Linked DNA regions of Tamandua tetradactyla. The protein of the gene in region 2 purifies or fractionates together with the protein of the main gene of each other region. This does not show direct contact. Links are inferred from orthologs where the notes say so. Each region holds a gene or a part of one and is shown on either strand. Other genes may lie near its edges.

Evidence for each region.
Region 1: the proteins of CDK7 (region 2) and ERCC2 purify together in Homo sapiens (affinity purification with mass spectrometry; 10 studies listed by BioGRID and IntAct, counting the BioPlex papers as one, with this or other methods). This does not show direct contact. The link is inferred for Tamandua tetradactyla from reciprocal best matches to the Homo sapiens genes CDK7 and ERCC2.

What each region holds. Positions count from the first base shown.
Region 1 is NC_135342.1:15,625,328-15,634,947, reverse strand, and holds the start of ERCC2 (general transcription and DNA repair factor IIH helicase subunit XPD), read right to left. Parts: upstream 4,168-9,620; 5' UTR 4,040-4,167; coding exon 4,035-4,039; exon of another isoform or gene 3,960-4,034; intron 3,748-3,959; coding exon 3,648-3,747; intron 2,688-3,647; coding exon 2,610-2,687; intron 2,536-2,609; coding exon 2,473-2,535; intron 2,320-2,472; coding exon 2,206-2,319; intron 1,115-2,205; coding exon 998-1,114; intron 916-997; coding exon 799-915; intron 248-798; coding exon 124-247; intron 32-123; coding exon 1-31. UniProt on the Homo sapiens protein: ATP-dependent 5'-3' DNA helicase. Component of the general transcription and DNA repair factor IIH (TFIIH) core complex, not absolutely essential for minimal transcription in vitro.
Region 2 is NC_135335.1:117,430,546-117,439,560, reverse strand, and holds the start of CDK7 (cyclin-dependent kinase 7), read right to left. Parts: upstream 4,512-9,015; 5' UTR 4,391-4,511; coding exon 4,325-4,390; intron 4,033-4,324; coding exon 3,973-4,032; intron 1-3,972. UniProt on the Homo sapiens protein: Serine/threonine kinase involved in cell cycle control and in RNA polymerase II-mediated RNA transcription. Cyclin-dependent kinases (CDKs) are activated by the binding to a cyclin and mediate the progression through the cell cycle.

The DNA.
Region 1 (9,620 bases), on a different chromosome or scaffold from region 2:
TTGACACTCATGGAGTCAATGCAGACATTGTCTGGAGAAGCGGGGAGAGGGCTAGCTCGGTCAGGCTGCTGGGATGGCAGTCTGGGGGGCCAGCATCGCTCTTCCACCCAGCTTCCTCCTCACCAATATTGTGGGCCTCATCAAAGACCACCACGGCCTTGCGCGCCAGCTCCTTGGACACCAGGTCTGCAATCTTGGGGTCCAGGAGGTAATGGTAGCTGTAGACCACCACGTTGGCATGCAGGATCTGGGGGACATGGACGGCAGGGTTACCCCAGGCCCTGCTGCCCCTCACCTGACCACACTGCCACATCACTCCCTCCCAGGCACACAGAGGTGAGGCAAAGACAGACAGGAAAGAAGGACAGAGACAAAGTGGGTGGGTGAAGCAACAGGCAACAGACAGAGAGAAGGGGAGGCTGACAGACACAGGCAGATGGAAACAGGCAAGGGAACAGACACCTTGGGGAAAGACAGGCAGACAAGCTGGACAGAGACAGAGAGGAGTACAGAGGAGAGTCCCACTGGCCCAGGTGGCAGCATGCAGAAAAGCAGACAGACACAAACATAGACAGAGAGGCACACTCACAAGCAGACAAGACACAGACAGACCAACTGACCCAGGCAGACAGATGCTCATAGCAGACAGACAGATGGTCACAGACATGGGTATAGAGAAGGACAGACTCAGGCAGAAGACAGAAAGACACACACAAGCAGGTAGAGATGGAGACAAGAGGCAGGAGGGACAGGGAGGCAGCCTTCAACCACGTGGTCCCCTGGCCCCCAGCTCCTCACCGAGTAGCGGGCCAGGAAGTAGGGGCACCATCCTTGGCGCTGCCCCAGGGCCTTCAGGTCATCCAGGTTGTAGATGCCAGCAGAGAGGGGCACCTGGCGTCCATGAGCATCAAATTCCTGAGGTGAGGCGAGAGGGTCTCTGGGGTAAGGGTGGCCATCTGCCCAAGGGGTCCACCCCATGCCCTCGCCTCTAGGGTACCTCATAAAAGCGGCAGTGGGGTAGGCTGGGGTTCTGTTCATGCTGTGCCCGAATGTAAGAGGCCGTCAGGCTGTGGCACTTTCCATCGACGTCCTTCCCAAAGCGCAGGGGCGTCACCTGAGGGTGCGGGGGACAGGCTGAGTGGCCCACTCCCACCTCCAACCAGCCAGAGACTCTAGCTAGTTCTTTGGAAAACTCACACATCAAACTGTTTTCTATTAAACAGTCAAGACTAAACAAGTAACTATTTACTCTTAACAGGTAATGCTTTTAGACTCTTAACACTTATTTTTAAAACATTAAAGACTTGACAAATCTAAGGGGTAGACATTGAGGAGAACATCAAAAACTTAGAACTTTACAACTGTTTATCCTTTGAAACACCTATAAACCCTGAACCTTAGCAAGTCTGCAGAAGCAGGGAAGGACTGAGCATCCCGACTACGAACCCCTTTGCCCCTGCACAGCCCTGAACTCTCCATGACTCTGTCAGGGGCACCTTAACAACCCCGGGCTTCCTTCCAGAATAACAAAATCTTTTCATTCATCAAAGGGGAAGACTCCAAGATCACTGACCCCTTCCTTCCCTTTCCCATCTCATCATTCTTATGCCTGGACTACTTCTCTTAAATGATCATTCATCATATGTATTGTTTGTTGCATATTCTTACAAATAATGTCTTGTAACGACTTGGAACAAGACCTGGCATATGATGACCACAATGGTTGTCGAAATAACCTTATGTCAGCTATCACCATGATATAAATACTATGATAGTTTCAAACATTCTTTTACCTTTCTGTACATTCTAAGGGCTTTATATGTATCATCTTGCCCAGTGTTATCAACCATCAAATGAGGCAGGTACTTAATTATTTCCATTTTACAGAAGTGAAAACTGAGGCCCAAGGGTAGAAATCACTTGTACAAGAGGATAAAACTACTAAATTTCAGGGCTTAGGAAATGAGGTCTGCCAGCCTCCAGGAGATGCCTTTTTAACCTCTCCTGACTGGGAGAAGGTGGGAAGGCTCCCTGCTGGTCTAGGCCATGAACAATGAGCTCACATTTGACAAGTGACAAAGGGATTCCATGCAGGGGACCCACATACCTACCTGAGGAATCTGGTCTGGGGATCTAGGACTACTGGCTGGAAAGAGGAGTTGCCCCAAGCCCAGGCTTAGGGAAAAGAGGGGAACAGACACTCACCTCAGGGTGAATACACAGGTTCTTGCGGGAGCTCAGAGCTAGTCCCAAGAATGGCAGCTTCTCGCCCTCCTGCTTCTCATAGAAGTTGAGCAGTTTACGCAGCTCTTCGATTACCTGCTCAGCCAGGAAAACTCAGCCTCAGTGAAAGCACAAGCGCCTAAATAGCCAGACCCCAGCTCCTTCCCCAGCCCCCCAAATCCCCCAAGGCTGGTGACCAAGGGAGTCCCGGGAGTAGAGGAGGGGGCCCTGGGACAGGCCCCAGCTCACCTTCTCAATCTCAGGCACGGTCCTCGAGCAGTAGATGAGTTTGGTCACCTCCAGCGGGTATGCCTGCCAATGACAAGTGGCCTCAGCCCCGAATGGCCTCTCCCCCACCCCTTCCCTGGGCCCAGAGAGTCACTCACCCGCTGGTATGCGATGATCAGGGCTAACAGGGATACTGTCTTCCCAGTGCCTGATGGCATCTCCAGGACGCCATGACCCTGAAGTTGAGGGTGGAAGGAATAACACATGGGCTCTCAGAATCTCAGGGACCCAACTTTTGGGGTGCCACCACCCTCCCAGAATAGCTGCAGGTCAGCATAGCAGTTAAAAGTTTGGTCCCCAGGGGCAATGGGCTTGAACCCCACTTCTGCCACCTGCTTGTTGAATTGTTTTAGGCAAGTATCTTCACCTCTCTGGGCATCAATATCCTCTTCTCTAAATGGGTCTACTACTAAAACCTTCCTCATAGCATGACTGAGAAGATCGTGAAAATCTATGGGTTAAATTTTTAGCACAATATCTGATAGAGGGTGAGCCTCCTTTTTCTCTGAATTTACAAATGCTTCCACAGTCTGGCATGGTTCCTTACAACCAAGTTTCTCAACCTTTGTACTGTCAACATTTTGGACCCGATAAGTCTTGGTCACTATTGCTATCAGGCACATTTTAGGATGTTTAGCGACATCCCTGGTCTCTACCCACTAGATGCCAGTAACACACATGCCCCTCCACTATGTGACAACCAGAAATGTCACGAGACGTTACCAAGTGTCCCCTAGGAGGAGAGAGGCAAACTGCCCTTGGTTGTGAACCACTGTCTTTTGTTTATTAACTCATTTAACCATCACAACAACCCATGAGGTATCTGACAGGGGAGGATACAGTGGAACAGGGAAGTTAAGTGACTAGCCTGAGGGCACACAGCCGGTGGACTGTGAGTCCTGGATTCCAATCCAGACAGCAGACTTCAAAAGTCCATTTATTCCTAACCGCTGGAGACGTTTAGCCTTTGATGTTAGCTGCTGCTATTACCAGCTCTTATTAGTTTAGATGCCTGGGAGGCTGGCTTTAGAGTCCTGATTCCCCAGAACCTCAGATATCGAAAACTTTGGGGTTTTCCTGGTCTAGACGTCCCGTAATCTCAGTCAAAAAGGCATCGGCCGGCCGGGCCCACACACCTTGGCGTCCAGCGTGCGTTTCAGCTCCAGCATGTAAGAGAACTGCTCCGGGTATATGTAGTCGTAAGGGAAGTAGACCAGCAGCCCGTCCACGTTGAGCCTGACAGCAAGGGCTGCGGGGTCAGGCCCCCGGCCCCCCGGCCCTCCCTCCAGCCCCCACACTCCCCCGTCGTCCACTTCCACAGGAGCCTCCGGGGCCCCTCGGCGTCTCCTCGCGGGCCATCCCCGTCACCACCCCGACGGTTCCCGCCGCTACCCCCACCCCACCGCTTCGGCCTCCCCCTCGCTCCACCGGGGCCCAGGGGTGCCCACCGGTACCCCCACCGGTACTCCCAACTTCAAGCCCTGGAGCCCGTCACGCGCCGCGACCCCCAGCCCCCATCTCACTTCATGGCGCCGACTCCGGTTTGCAAAGTCGTCGACACGCCTCCTTCATTAATATTCAGTGAAGGGAAGGTCCCTGGGGCGCCTTAGCGGTCCCGCTCCACCTTCCGCACAGCGCATTGGCTGATGCCGCACGCCACTCCGCCAGGAGGGTAATGCGCATGCGCACTTCGGGGGGCCGCTCTGAGGCGGGAGGTGGTTTCCCAGGCATCGCTGAGGATCGCCGAAGACAAAAAACAAAACGCGGAAGGAGGAGTCCCGAGAGGATCGATCCCATTCAGTTGGCTTCGTTCTTCCTACTTCTGCCCTGATTATCCCAACAGCGAGTAGAGTCTGCGGGAGAATGACAGTGAAATTGGAAATCCCTCCGGGGCCCGCGAGGTCGCAATGGCTTCACCGCACGAAATAAGTATCATTTATAAAGTGTCTGCTGTGTCCTTGTCCCCTGTGGAATAAATAACTTCCCATTTATTGAGCGCCTACTGTTCTCCAGAGACTGAGCTAGGTGTTTTTATTCAGTCAATAATGGAAAAGCAGTATAGTTTGTGGCTAAAGTGGGTCTCTGGAGCCAGAACTCCTGGGTCCAAATCCTGGTTCTGCTATCTGCTAGCTGTGTGACCTTGATCAAATTACTTGACCTCTCTGTGGTTTATTTTTCTCATTGTAAACTGGGAACAATTAGAATATCTACCACATAGGTGACCTTTAAATTAACCCACATAAAGCCGTTAAAATGGGGCTTTGCACATACTAAGCATTCAATAAATGTTAGCTTTTATTTGTCCATTCAAGAAACCATTATGGGAGCTGAGATCCTGTGCTGAACTCTGAGAACACAGAGGTACCCCCAAAACGCCCCTGTTTCTGTCCTCAAAGAACAGATATTAAACATACAAATAAATATATGATTACAAGTGTGACAAGAAGTATGAAGGAAAATTCAGGAAATCATAAGGGCTTATAACAGGAGAAATGAGAGTTCCTGGAGCTGATTCAGGCAGAGAAGAGGGGTAGGTCCCCAGTTCCCTATTTAGCAAGGATTAGAGAAAGGGGTCTCATTGGCACAACCACAAGGTTCATCAGGAGAGACAGAGGCTGGAGAAAGCGGGCCCCACCAAGGTTGCTGTTTCCTTAATAATCACCTCATTTCATTCATTCATTCAATCAACACATGCTCCCTGAGCCTCTCCTCTGTGCCTCCCTACCCCCGTGCTGGAGGATACTGAGGACATAGCAGGGACCGAAGAGCCCCAGGCTCACAGTCCAGTGTGGAAGACAGACTCATTCCCAGGCAGTGACGATCCTGAGGGCAAAGGACTGGGATGGGGTGGGAGTGATACCTGATCTGACTGGGCAGGTTCTCCTCTAAGAACTTGGTTTGTTTACTTCTAAAGTGAGAATAAGGATACCCTAACAAATGACATTAATGGTTAATGTCATATGTCCTGGTTTGAAACCGTTATGAACCCCAGAAAAGACACGGTCTTCTAATCCAAACTTGTGGGGGCAGATCTATTGTTAGGTGGGACCTTTTGATCGGATTGTTCCCATGAAGATGTGGTCCTGCTCATTCAAAGTGGGTCTTAATCCGCTTACTGGAGTCCTTTAAGAGAGGGACGTTTGGAGAACACACAGATATTTGGAGAAATAGAAGGAAAACACCCCAGGAGACACCAGAAGCTGAGAGACCCATTTGAAACCAGAAGCCCGAAGAGAAGGACAGCAGATGTTGCCATATACCTTCCTATGTGACAGGTCAGATGCCAGCTGCCTCTCCTCCAAGAAGGTATCCTCTTGTTGGTGCCTTAATTTGGACATTTTCATGGCCTTAGAATTGTAACTCGAAATTTAATAAATCACCTTTATAAAAGCCAATCCATTTCTGGCATTTTGCAGAAATGGCAGCTTTAGCAAACCAAAACATCATACAAACACATGAATGAAAATATAGTTTCAAAGTAAGGTAAAGTTTCTCGAAGTGGGTTCTAAGGAGCCAGTAGAACTCATAATAATAGTTAGAGGACTGGGGTTTGAGCCGGTTAATAAGATCGGTGACATGACCCCAAAGCTGAGAACTGAGAACTTTAACCAAGGGGAACACTGAATAGGAACAATTGCCTACACAGAGCTGTTCCTTGTGGTTTCATGTATTAAAAGGACAAGGTGGGACTTCCAGGCCAAGATGGTGGCTTAACAATGTGCACGTTATAGTTCGTCCTCCAGAGCAACTACTAAATAACCAGAAACAGTACAGAACAGCTCCTGGGGCCACATCAGTGACCGGACACACAGCGTACCCCAGTCTGGACCAGCTGGGCCGGCTGTGAGCCCCCCCCAGAACCGTGAGTTCCCCAAGCCATGGCGGCCGGTGCCTCTCCCCCACAGGCTGCTTCCCAGAGGGGAAAGGAAAGGGACTTGACCAGAAACAGGGGCTGAGCCCAACCAAACGCCAATTGTGGAATTAATTAACAAATTCTGACTACTGAAAATAGGCCCCCAGCTCAGGTGAACCTGGTCAAAGCGGAGGTCTCTCATTTTTGCCCTGGCGCCAAGGGGGCAGCACTGATGGAAAAAGAAAAAAAGGGAGGAAAAAAGGAAACAGAGGTTTTTGTGGCTTTGTTTCTACAAAGGCTTGACTGCCTTTGAATACAGCGGCAGGGCTTATCAGGCTGCAACTGCCTCAGGCATAAGCAGAAACAAGCTCGTTTGACAGCTTGTCTGGAGCCTGTACCTTCCCCAGGGGAGGGGTGAAGCTAACTCAGGTGGAATCCCTCCCTCAAGGAATTCAAACACTAGGGCTTGGTAATTTGAAGCCATTAAAATCAGCCTACAACCTCTCCTGTGTCCCCACCATGCCCCCAGCAGGGAGAGTCTGCCAAAGTTAAAGGTACCACATCATCTTATGCTGTTGGGACCTGCAGGCAGACAAGCGCCACATACCGGGCAGGATAAGAAAAACAGAGCCCAGAGACTTCACAGGAAAGTCTTTCAACCTGCTGGGTCTCACCCTCAGGGAAAACTGATGCAGGTGACTCTTTCCTCCTGATAGGAGGCCAGTTTGATCTGGGAAAATCCAGCTGGGGTCTATAATACCTAAGTAGACCCTCCTAAGTGTGGGGGAGGCACCATACAAGCAGGGCAAGAAACAAGAAAACAAGAGCTTAAAAATTCTCCTCTGTTAAACAAAACTTAAGCTAGAGGTCCAGATAAAGCTGAACTGAATGTCAAAGAACAGATAGACAACAAATTCATCCAGCAAGAAAACTTTAGGTAAAGAAGTGAAAGCAATCTCCAGAATAAACTAATTAAGGTAATTAAATGCCTAGACACCAGCAAAAAATAACAAATCACACTAGGAAAAGTGAAGATATGGCCCAGTCAAAGGAACAAACCAACAATTCAAATGAGATACAGAAGCTGAAACAATTAATTCAGAATATACAAACAGACATAGAAAACCTCATCAAAAACCAAATCAATGAATTGAGGGAGGATATAAAGAAGGCAAGGAATGAACAAAAAGAAGAAATCGAGAGTCTGAAAAAACAAATCACAGAACTTATGGGAATGAAAGGCACAGAAGAAGAGATGAAAAAAACGATGGAAACCTACAATGGTAGATTTTGAGAGACAGAACATAGGATTAGTGAACTGGAAGACAGAACATCTGAAATCTGGCAAGAAAAAGAAAATATGGTGAAAAATGGAAAAATATGAGCAGGGACTCAGGGAACTGAAAGACAATATGAAGCACATGAATATACGTGTTGTGGGTATCCCAGAAGGAGAAGAGAAGGGGAAAGAAGGAGAAAAACTAATGGAGGAAATTATCACTGAAAATGTCCCAACCCTTACGAAAGACTTAAAATTACAGATCCAAGAAGTGCAGCATACCCCAAAGAGAATAGATCCAAATAGACGTACTCCAAGACATTTACTGACCAGAATGTCAGAAGTCATAGAGAAGGAGCGAATCTTGAAAGCAGCAAGAGAAAAGCAATCCATCACGTACAAGGGAAGCCCAATAAGACTATGTATAGATCTCTCAGCAGAAACCATGGAGGCAAGAAGACAGTCGGATGATATATTTAAATTTTTAAAAGAGAAAAACTGTCAACCAAGAATTCTATACCCAGCAAAACTGTCCTTCAAAAATGAGGGAGAAATTAAAACATTTTCAGGCAAAAAATCACTGAGAGAATTTGTGACCAAGAGACCAGCTCTGCAAGAAATACTAAAGGGAGCACTAGAGACAGATACGAAGACAGAAGAAAGAGGTGTGGAGAAGAGTGCAGAAAGGAAGACTATGAGTAAAGATAAAAAGAAGGAAAATTAGATATAACATATAAAATCCAGAAAGCAAAATAGTAGAAGAAAGTACTACCCATGCAGTAATAACACTGAATGTTAATGGACTAAACTCCCCAATCAAAAGACATAGTCTGGCAGAATGGATAAAAAACAGGACCCATCTATATGCTGTCTCTACTCAAAAGACATGAGGGCAAGCACACAAATGGACATTTGCACACCAATGTTTATAGCAGCATTATTTACAATTACCAAGAGATGGAAACAGTCAAAATGTCCATCAACAGATGGGTGGCTAAACAAACCGTAGCCTATACATAAGATGGAATATTATGCAGCTGTAAGACAGAATAAACTTATGAAGTATGTAACAACATGGATGGACCTTAAGGACATTATGCTGAGTGTGATTAGCCAAAACAAAAGGACAAATACTGTATGGTCTCACTGATATGAACTGACATTAGTGAATAAACTTGGAATATTTTATTGGTAACAGAGACCTTCAGGAGATAGAAATAGGGTAAGATATTGGGTAATTGGAGCTGAAGGGATACAGATTGTACAACAGGACTGAATATAAAAACTCAAAAATGGACAGCACAATACTACCTAACTGTAATAATGTTAAAACACTGAGTAAAGCTGAATGTGAGAATGATAGAGGGAGGAGGGCTGGGGACATAAATGAAATCAGAAAGAAAGACAGCTGATAAAGATTGAGATGGTATAATCTAGGAATGCCTAGAGTGTATAATGATAGTGACTAAATGTACAAATTTAAAAAATGTTTTTGCATGAGGAAGAACAAAAGAATGTCATTACTGCAGGGTGCTGAAAATAGATGGCAGTTAATATTTTAAAATTTCAACTTATGTGTGAGACTAAAGCAAAAAATATTTATTTGATACAAAATTTATGTTTTGACTAGTGCATCTCCTAATATAACTGATGTAGATAGTTGGTTGAACAACATAAGCACATGGAACCTTGGGTAGGACATGGAGATTTTGTTGGTTTGTCCAGGTGATGCCCCAATGAATCCCAGAGTGATTTGATCAGTGAGTGGAAAAGTATTTGCAAAGTCCCCTTCGGGGAATGGTGAGAACGGGGGAAAACTCAACTTCCCCAAGTTGAATTCTTGATATTCTCACAAGCAGTGTGGACAACCAAAGCTATAGGCTGAGCCCCCAGTCTTGGGATTTGTTCATATAAAACTTAACCCCACAAAGGATAGGTCAAGCCTACTTAAAATTAGGACTAAGAGTCACCCCCAAG
Region 2 (9,015 bases):
CCTTGTGTCTGATGCTCCTTTTATCTACCTTGTCAACAGATGAGTAGAACATATGGAATAAAAATAAATAATAGGGGGAACAAATGTTAAAATACATTTGGTTTGAAATGCTAGTGATAAATGAAAGTGAGGGGTAGGAGTATGGTATGTATAATCATTTTTTTCTCTGTTATCATTTTATTTCTTTTTCTGTTGTCTTTTTCTGAATTGATGCAAATGTTCTAAGAAATGATGAATATGCAACTATGTGATGATACTGAGAATTACTGATTATATATGTAGAACGCAGTATGTTAATGTTTTTATTCTTAATTTTTAAAATAAATTTAAAAAATTAAAACTGTTCATACTGAGGAGTGAAAAACAGGGGTAGAGAAGAATAAGGCAAGTTAAAAGCATAAGTCTATTACTTGTCTGTTAAAACTATAAATGTGGTACTTCAAAAAAAAAAACTAATTGTAAAACAAAAGTCTGCTATGAGTTACATTCAAGAAGGAAAAGTCTATTACAGAGAAAGAGCATGGAGTTTTAAGTGCTAATTTATGCTTAAAAGCAAGTAAACAAAAAAACCTCCAGAATTATGGAATTGTAACCCATACCAAACTCTGAAATCCGTTCTACAACTAATTGTTGTGATGTACTTTGAAATTTACTGCTGTTATGTTATTTTTCACAAAAAAAGAGAGAAGGAGAAGTATAACAGAGAAGATGGGATTTAACAAATGAGTACAACTGCTGAATCATTATATTGATATTTCTGTTGGTCTCCAGTGTCTGAGAACAGCTAGCAGAAAAAAATGAAAAACTGTGGAACTGTAAATCATACCAAACTTTAAAATCTGTTCTATAACTACTTATTAAAACGTACTTCGAAATATATAGCTTTTCTGTATATATGTTATATTTCACAGTAAGAAAAAAAGTTAAAAACAAAAAACCCAGGGCTTTCAGACAACTACAGAACTCAATGTTCCAACAGTGTGCAGAGCTTTTATCAGGTACCAAGTGCATACAAAGGCACAAGTCACAGTCCGAGGTGTAATGCAAGTGGAAGGAAACAGACAAATTCCTAAATCAGAGGTTTTCAAATTCTGATAAATGTGAATAAAAATGACGGGAAATACAGCAAGAGCCATAGGGAAGGAAGGGGCTGTCCTCCTTGTGGCTGAAGCGCACGGGAAGAGATTTCGATGTGTCGTGAATGATAAGCATCCGCCCACGCCGAGTTCCAAGGGAAGAAACACCCACCAGAAGGCAACAACCCTGCAATGAATCTAAGTGTGCAAGGGACAGAAAGGGCACTGCGGCTACATTCGAGTGAACCAGGGACAGACCTGGAAAAAGGGAATAGAAAGGGTTGGAGAGTGAAGGCGTTTTGCCAGAGACTGGCTATGAAGCTGGATCACGAAATGCGAACTGGGTAACGAGGAAAAGTACAGGTGACTATGACGGCAGGAGTAAAGCTGGGGACAAGAGGTGGGCCACTGGTTAAGTCGCCGGAGGCTGGTAAGTGACACAAACAAGCGGCAGCGGGTGTAAGACGACGGTGGACGTAGACGAGAAGCAACGGTTTCTGAAGGAGGAGAAAGACTCAAAGCAGCAGCGGGAACCACCCCCAGGGGCGGCCCCCCTCCAGACGGTGACAGATCTCGGCAGCACTGGAGACAAGGGACCTGCACCGCGACGTCGGTTTCTTCCCCCGGGAACCGGACCCGCGCCCGCGCAGGGCCTGCGGGAACCGGCGCTGAGCCACCGCGGCCCGCCCGGGCCATGTGAGTCAAGTCCCCGCTTTAACCAGTCCCGACCTCGGCAACCGGCTGCACAAACTCGACGAGACACCGCAACTGTCGGCTTCAACGACCCCTACTGCAAAATCAAAGGTGAGCGCTTCAACGACCTCCCACGGCCGTTCTGAGGGTCACCCGACGTGCCTGGCACACGACAGGTCAGCACATCACGGCAGACGCCGCCGGAACCAGCCCAAGGCCATTTCCAGGGGCTACGCAGGCAGCTGCACTACAACGCACCGCGCGAGCGCGCCAGACGCCCGTGGGCTCAGCCCGAGCCGGCCCGCTTCGCCCAAGCCCGAACCCGCGCGGCAAACGCGCCACGCGGCGTCCCCTTCCATCTTCACGGACCGGAACCAAACACGGTTCACCACAGAGCTGCTCCGGGAACCCGCAGAAACCCTCCTCACGAGCAGGGGCAGGCCAGAGAACCGAAACGGTCACCCGTCAGTGCATCTCACACTCACACACACACACAGCCGTCAGTGCATCTCACACTCACACACACACCCGTCAGTGCATCTCACACTCACACTCACACCCACACCCACACACACATCAGTCAGTGCATCTCACACTCACACACACACACAGCCGTCAGTGCATCTCACACTCACACCCACAGACCCACACACAGCCGTCAGTGCATCTCACACTCACACACACACACACACAGCCGTCAGTGCATCTCATACTCACACACACACACACACACACGCAGGGGCAGGCCAGAGAACCGAAACGGTCACCCGTCAGTGCATCTCACACTCACACACACACCCGTCAGTGCATCTCACACTCACACACACACACAGCCGTCAGTGCATCTCATACTCACACCCACACACCCACATGCAGGGACAGGCAAGAGAACCGAAACGGTCACCCGTCAGTGCAACACACACACGCACACACACACACACACACACGCAGGGGCAGGCCAGAGACCCGAAACGGTCACCCATCAGTGCATCTCACACTCACACACACACACACCCGTCAGTGCATCTCACACACACACACACACACACACAGCCGTCAGTGCATCTTACACACCCACACACACACGCAGGGGCAGGCAAGAGAACCGAAACGGTCACCCGTCAGTGCAACACACACACACACACACACACACACACGCAGAGGCAGGCCAGAGAACCGAAACGGTCACCCATCAGTGCATCTCACACACACACACACAGAGCCGTCAGTGCATCTCTCACACACACACACACAGAGCCGTCAGTGCATCTCACACTCACACCCACACCCACACATCAGTCAGTGCATCTCACACTCACACACACACACATCAGTCAGTGCATCTCACACTCACACACACACACATCAGTCAGTGCATCTCACACTCACACACACACACACAGCCGTCAGTGCATCTCACACTCACACCCACACACCCACCCACACACACAGCCGTCAGTGCATCTCATACTCACACCCACACACACACACACACGCAGGGGCAGGCCAGAGAACCGAAACGGTCACCCGTCAGTGCATCTCACACTCACACACACACACCCGTCAGTGCATCTCACACTCACACACACACCCGTCAGTGCATCTCACACTCGCACACACACCCGTCAGTGCATCTCACACACACACACAAACCCGTCAGTGAATCTCACACGCACACGCAGGGACAGGCAAGAGAACCGAAACGGTCACCCGTCAGTGCAGCACACACACACACACACACGCAGGGGCAGGCCAGAGAACCGAAACGGTCACCCATCAGTGCATCTCACACACACACACACGCACACACCCGTCAGTGCATTCACACTCACACACACACATCCGTCAGTGCATCTCACACACACACACACACAGAGCCGTCAGTGCATCGCACACTCACACACACACACAGCCGTCAGTGCATCTCACACTCACACCCACCCACCCACACACACACACACGCAGGGGCAGGCAAGAGAACCGAAACGGTCACCCGTCAGTGCATCTCACACTCACTCACACACCCATCAGTGCATCTCACACACACACACACACACACCCGTCAGTGCATCTCACACACACACGCACACGCAGGGACAGGCAAGAGAACCGAAACGGTCACGTCAGTGCAACACACACACACACACACACACACACACATCCCTTCACGGGACTTGAGAAAACGACAAAAGCTGAAACTCACTTTTTTAATGGCGACAATCTGGTTGGTGTTTTTGTCTCTGGCCTTGTACACCGTGGCAAACTAGACAGGGAAACAGGAATAACGTGAGTTTGGGGGGGCTTTTTTGTATTTCTTTTTTACTTCTTTTTACATCTTGGGAGGCAAAGACACCAAGTTTTGGGAGTGGGCTCGCGGCGACTTGCAACGTGGTCAGACACGCCACGTCCCGCCCCGCCCGGGGCTCACCGCCGAGGTGCACAGGGGGCCGCAGGTGCGCGCGGGCGGCCTCCGGGGTCCAGCGCGCTCCCCTCAGGGCGAGGCGGCGCGACGCTGGCCGCTCTGGGCCCTCCCCGTCTCGGCCCGAGAGCCTCACCTGTCCCTCCCCGAGGAAGTCCAGCTTCTCATAACGCTTTGCTCGCGACTTCACGTCCAAAGCCATCGGGCCCGCCAAGTCCGACTCGGCCGAAAGGGTCGCCCTCCCAAGACCGGGAATTTAAAGCTCCTTCAAGCGCCGCGCGGTCACTTCCGCCGGCGGGGCGGGGTCGCGCCCGTGGCTCCGCCCTCACTTCCGTGCTGGGCCGTCCCGGCGAGCCCGCCCCGCCCCCGCCCCCCGTGGCTCCGCCCTCACTTCCGTGCTGGGCCGCCCCGGCGAACCCGCCCCGCCCCCGCCCCCCGTGGCTCCGCCCTCACTTCCGTGCTGGGCCGCCCCGGCGAACCCGCCCCGCCCCCGCCCCCGCCGCCCCCGAGGCTCCGCCCTCACTTCCGTGCTGGGCCGCCCCGGCGAACCCGCCCCGCCCCCGCCACTGCCGCCCCCGAGGCTCCGCCCTCACTTCCGTGCTGGGCCGTCCCGGCGAGCCCGCCCCGCCCCCGCCCCCCGTGGCTCCGCCCTCACTTCCGTGCTGGGCCGCCCCGGCGAACCCGCCCCGCCCCCGCCCCCGCCGCCCCCGAGGCTCCGCCCTCACTTCCGTGCTGGGCCGTCCCGGCGAGCCCGCCCCGCCCCCGCCCCCGTCCCCCCGTGGCTCCGCCCTCACTTCCGTGCTGGGCCGCCCCGGCGAACCCGCCCCGCCCCCGCCACTGCCGCCCCCGAGGCTCCGCCCTCACTTCCGTGCTGGGCCGTCCCGGCTAACCCACCCCGCCCCCGCCCCCGCCCCGTCCCGCGCCGGGTGTCCGCGCTCTGCTCCTGGGCACGCGGTGCGGGGCCACGGTTTGCGTCCTCGTGTCACGGCCCTAACGTGCGTTGTTTCTTGGCTGCTGCGGCTGGTCGGCGTTCTTACGTGGTGTTCTGAGTGTGCGACCTGGTAGGGTTGTGAGTGTGCAAGGCTTGGCCTTGCTCCTCATCTCCTGTTCTGGCCCTTGCGCGCGTCCTAACGCCGCGGTTGCTACGGACGCGGCGCCTCGCGACCTTACGGTTCTTAGGTCCAAAGTTTAAGGCTGGGGAAGAGGCAGTCTTCGTCCAGAGTCCTTGGGGAAAAGCAGGCCCAGGGAAACAAAACCCAGCGCAGCTTAAACTAGTGTACCTGTTAAAACATAAGTCAAATCGTATCATTTTTCTGATCAAAACCCTCCAATGGCCTTTCAGTGATGGTTTCCCTGGATTATCCTATCTAAAATTTCACCCACTTCCCCCACCCTCCTTCCTGTTATATTATCTCCGTAGGACTTTTCACTATATATCATAACATTTTATTATTTGCTCGTTTTCTTTCTCTCTGCTCCTCGGTTTTCTACGCAGTAAGATGGAAACGACAGACTAAACACAAGGTTGTCAGAATTGAGGTGCAAAGTTATTGATCGCTTGCTGTGATCAATAAGGGTTGGTTGTGATCAGTACCGAACCTCTTGATTCTCATAAATTTTCATTGTAATCAACAAAATAAACTGAACCCATTAATTTAATGAATATATGTTTTTTTATGTACCAGGCACAGCTATAGAGTAAAAAGCCAGAAGGGAATAAAACGGATAAAAAGCCCTGCTTTCCAATAAAACAAGCGAATAATAAAATGTTATGATATATAGTGAAAAGTCCTACGGAGATAATATAACAGGAAAGAGGGTGGGGGAAGTGGGTGAAATTTTAGATAGGATAATCCAGGGAAAACATCACTGAAAGGCCATTGGAGGGTTTTATCAGAAAAATGATATGATTTGACTATGTTTTAACAGGTACACTGGCTTTTGTGAGAGGCGACATTATAGACTTAGGCAAGAAGAGAAACAAGAAGACCTGTTAATAGGATTATTACAATAATCCATAAGGCTTGTATTAAATTGGTTATGCAACATGATGTATCACTGGGATAACTTGCCAGTTAGGCTTCTAGCCAATAGGATTTGCTCGTAGTATGGATATGGATTGTGAAAAAAATGGATATTTCCAGCTTTGGGACTTAAGCAGCTGGAAGAAAGAAATGATATTTCCTCCCTTTCTTTGCAATGGGTGTTTCTAAGAATTCAGAATCCTTATTTTCAGAGATATGTGTAGGAAATGCAGGGCAATTAGCAAGGCCAGTCATAGTTAAGGTAGTGTAGAGGTTGGATTCTTGCTCTGGAACCTGCATTTTAATACTGGCACCATTAGCATTCAGTCACTAGTAGTACGACTTGGGCACAAGTATGACTTCTGTGCTTGTTTCCTATTCTGTAATAGGGATGATGCGAAGTTTAAATGAGTTTGCACTTGTAAAGCCCTAAGAATATGGTGTGATAGCTAAGTGCTCAGTTTGTTAATCATTTTTATTGGTCACCTTTCAGCCCTTTGTCACTACTTGGGTTTTTACTGCGCGCTGATGAGCCTGCAGGCAAAATTCTAATACAGTACAGAAAACACATCATCGTTAACAGTACTATATCTTTTAATTGTGGCAACTTATCCCAGTGATGTATCATGTTGCAGACTCAGGTAACAGTTTCTAATGACAGACATCACTGTAATACTAATCCAACCTCACCTTTAGTAATGGTACGCTTGTGAAGCTAGAGATTCCAAGTGTGCAGTGCACATGAATTGATAACCACTGTATCATACCTGCTGCTGACAAGGAAACGTTTTGGGTAAGATGACAAGTATCAAGATGATATTCTGGGGTAATGGGGTAGTTATGTATATAAAATACTACTTCGCATTCGTATAGCTTTTTACAGTTTACAAAAGCACTTTTACCCATCTGTAGTAACCAGCTTCCAAGATGGACCCCAACCATCCTTGCCTCCTGGTATTAATGGACCTGTATAGTCTCCCACAAGGAAACAGGCTGTTCTGTCTGACCAAGAAATTGAGTGGCAGAAGTGATTCCAATTTCTAAGGCTACGTCATAAAAGATGCTGTTTCTGCCTTGAGAATTTGGATCATTTACTCTGGGGGAAGCCAGCTGCCATGTTAGGAATTGCCCGGACAGCCCTATGGAGAGGCATGTGGAGGGGAACGACAGCCAGCACCAACAGTCAGCCACGTGGATCTTTAAAGTGGATCATCCAGCCCCAAGAGGCATCTGATTACGACCTCAGGAGAACTGCAACTGCCCAGCTAAGCTGCTCCTGAATTCCAGACGCAGAGAGACCATGAAAGATATGAAATGATTATTTTATAGCCACTGAGTTTTGGGGGTGATATTATTTTACCAAGTAATAGATAATACACTAACTTGATCCTCCCCGATACACTAAACTGTACGGTAATGGAGACGAAAAATGAAACTTGAACAAACTAAGTAACTTGGTGATGGTTACATTTAAGTGCTAAACCCCTAAATGAAAATACAGGTTATCTCACTCTAAGCCTAGCCAGAATTCTTTCAACACTTCTTGGGAACTCATTTTCTGACACCAGTTCTTACTGACGTGGCTTTTGCCATACCTGTTGTGCTGGTTTGAAAGGATGTCTGTACCCTAAAAAGCCATGTTTTAATCCTAATCCCATTTTGTAAAGGCAGCCGTTTCTTCCAATCCCTATTCAGTACTGTTTGTTTGAAACTGTAATTAGATCATCTCCCTGGAGATGTGACTCAGTCAAGAGTGGTTGTTAAAATTTATATTTTGACAAGTACATTTTCTTATATAACTTATGTAGACAGCTTAATTGAACACCATAAGTACATGGAACCTTGAGTAGGACATGAGATTTTGTTGGATTGTCCAGAGTGATGTCCCGATAAATCCCAGAATGATTTGAACAGTGAATAAAAAAGTATTTGCAAAGTCCCCTTCGGGGAATGGTGAAAAAGGGGGAAAATTCAACTTCCCTAACTTGAATTCTTGATATTCTCACAAGCAGTGTAAACAATCAAAGCTATAGGCTGAGCCCCCAATCTTGGGGTTTGGTCATATGAAACTTAACCCCACAAAGGATAGGTCAAGCCTACTTAAACTTAGGCCTAAGAGTCACCCCCAAGAGAACCTCTTTTGTTGCTCAGATGTGGCCTCTCTCTCTCTCTCGGCCAACACAGCAAGCAAACTCACCACTCTCCCCGTGTACGTAGGACATGACTCCCAGGGGTATGGACCTTCCTGGCAATGTGGGACAGAAATCCCAGAATGAGCTAAGACTCAGCATCAAAGGATTGAGAAAACCTTCTTGACCAAAAGGGGGAAGAGTGAAGTAGACAAAATAAGTGTCAATGGCTGAGAGATTCCAAACAGAGTCAAGAGGCTATCCTGGAGGTTATTCTTACGCATTAAATAGATATCACCTTGTTAGTCAAGATGTAGTGGAGAGGCTGGAGGAAACTGCCTGGAAATGTAGAGCTGTGTTCCAGTAGCCATGTTCCTTGAAGATGATTATATAATGATATAGCTTTCACAATGTGACTGTGTGATTGTGACAATCTTGTGTCTGATTCTCCTTTTATCTACCTTATCAACAGACGAGTAAAACATACGGAATAAGATGAATAATAGAGGGAACAAATGTTAAAATAAATTTAGAGTGAAATGCTGGTGATCGATGAGGGGGAGGGGTGGGGGGTATGGTATATATGGATTTTTTTCTGTTTTCTTTTAATTTCTTTCCTGAATAGATGCAAATGTTCTAAGAAGTGATCATGATGATGAATATGTGATATTGTG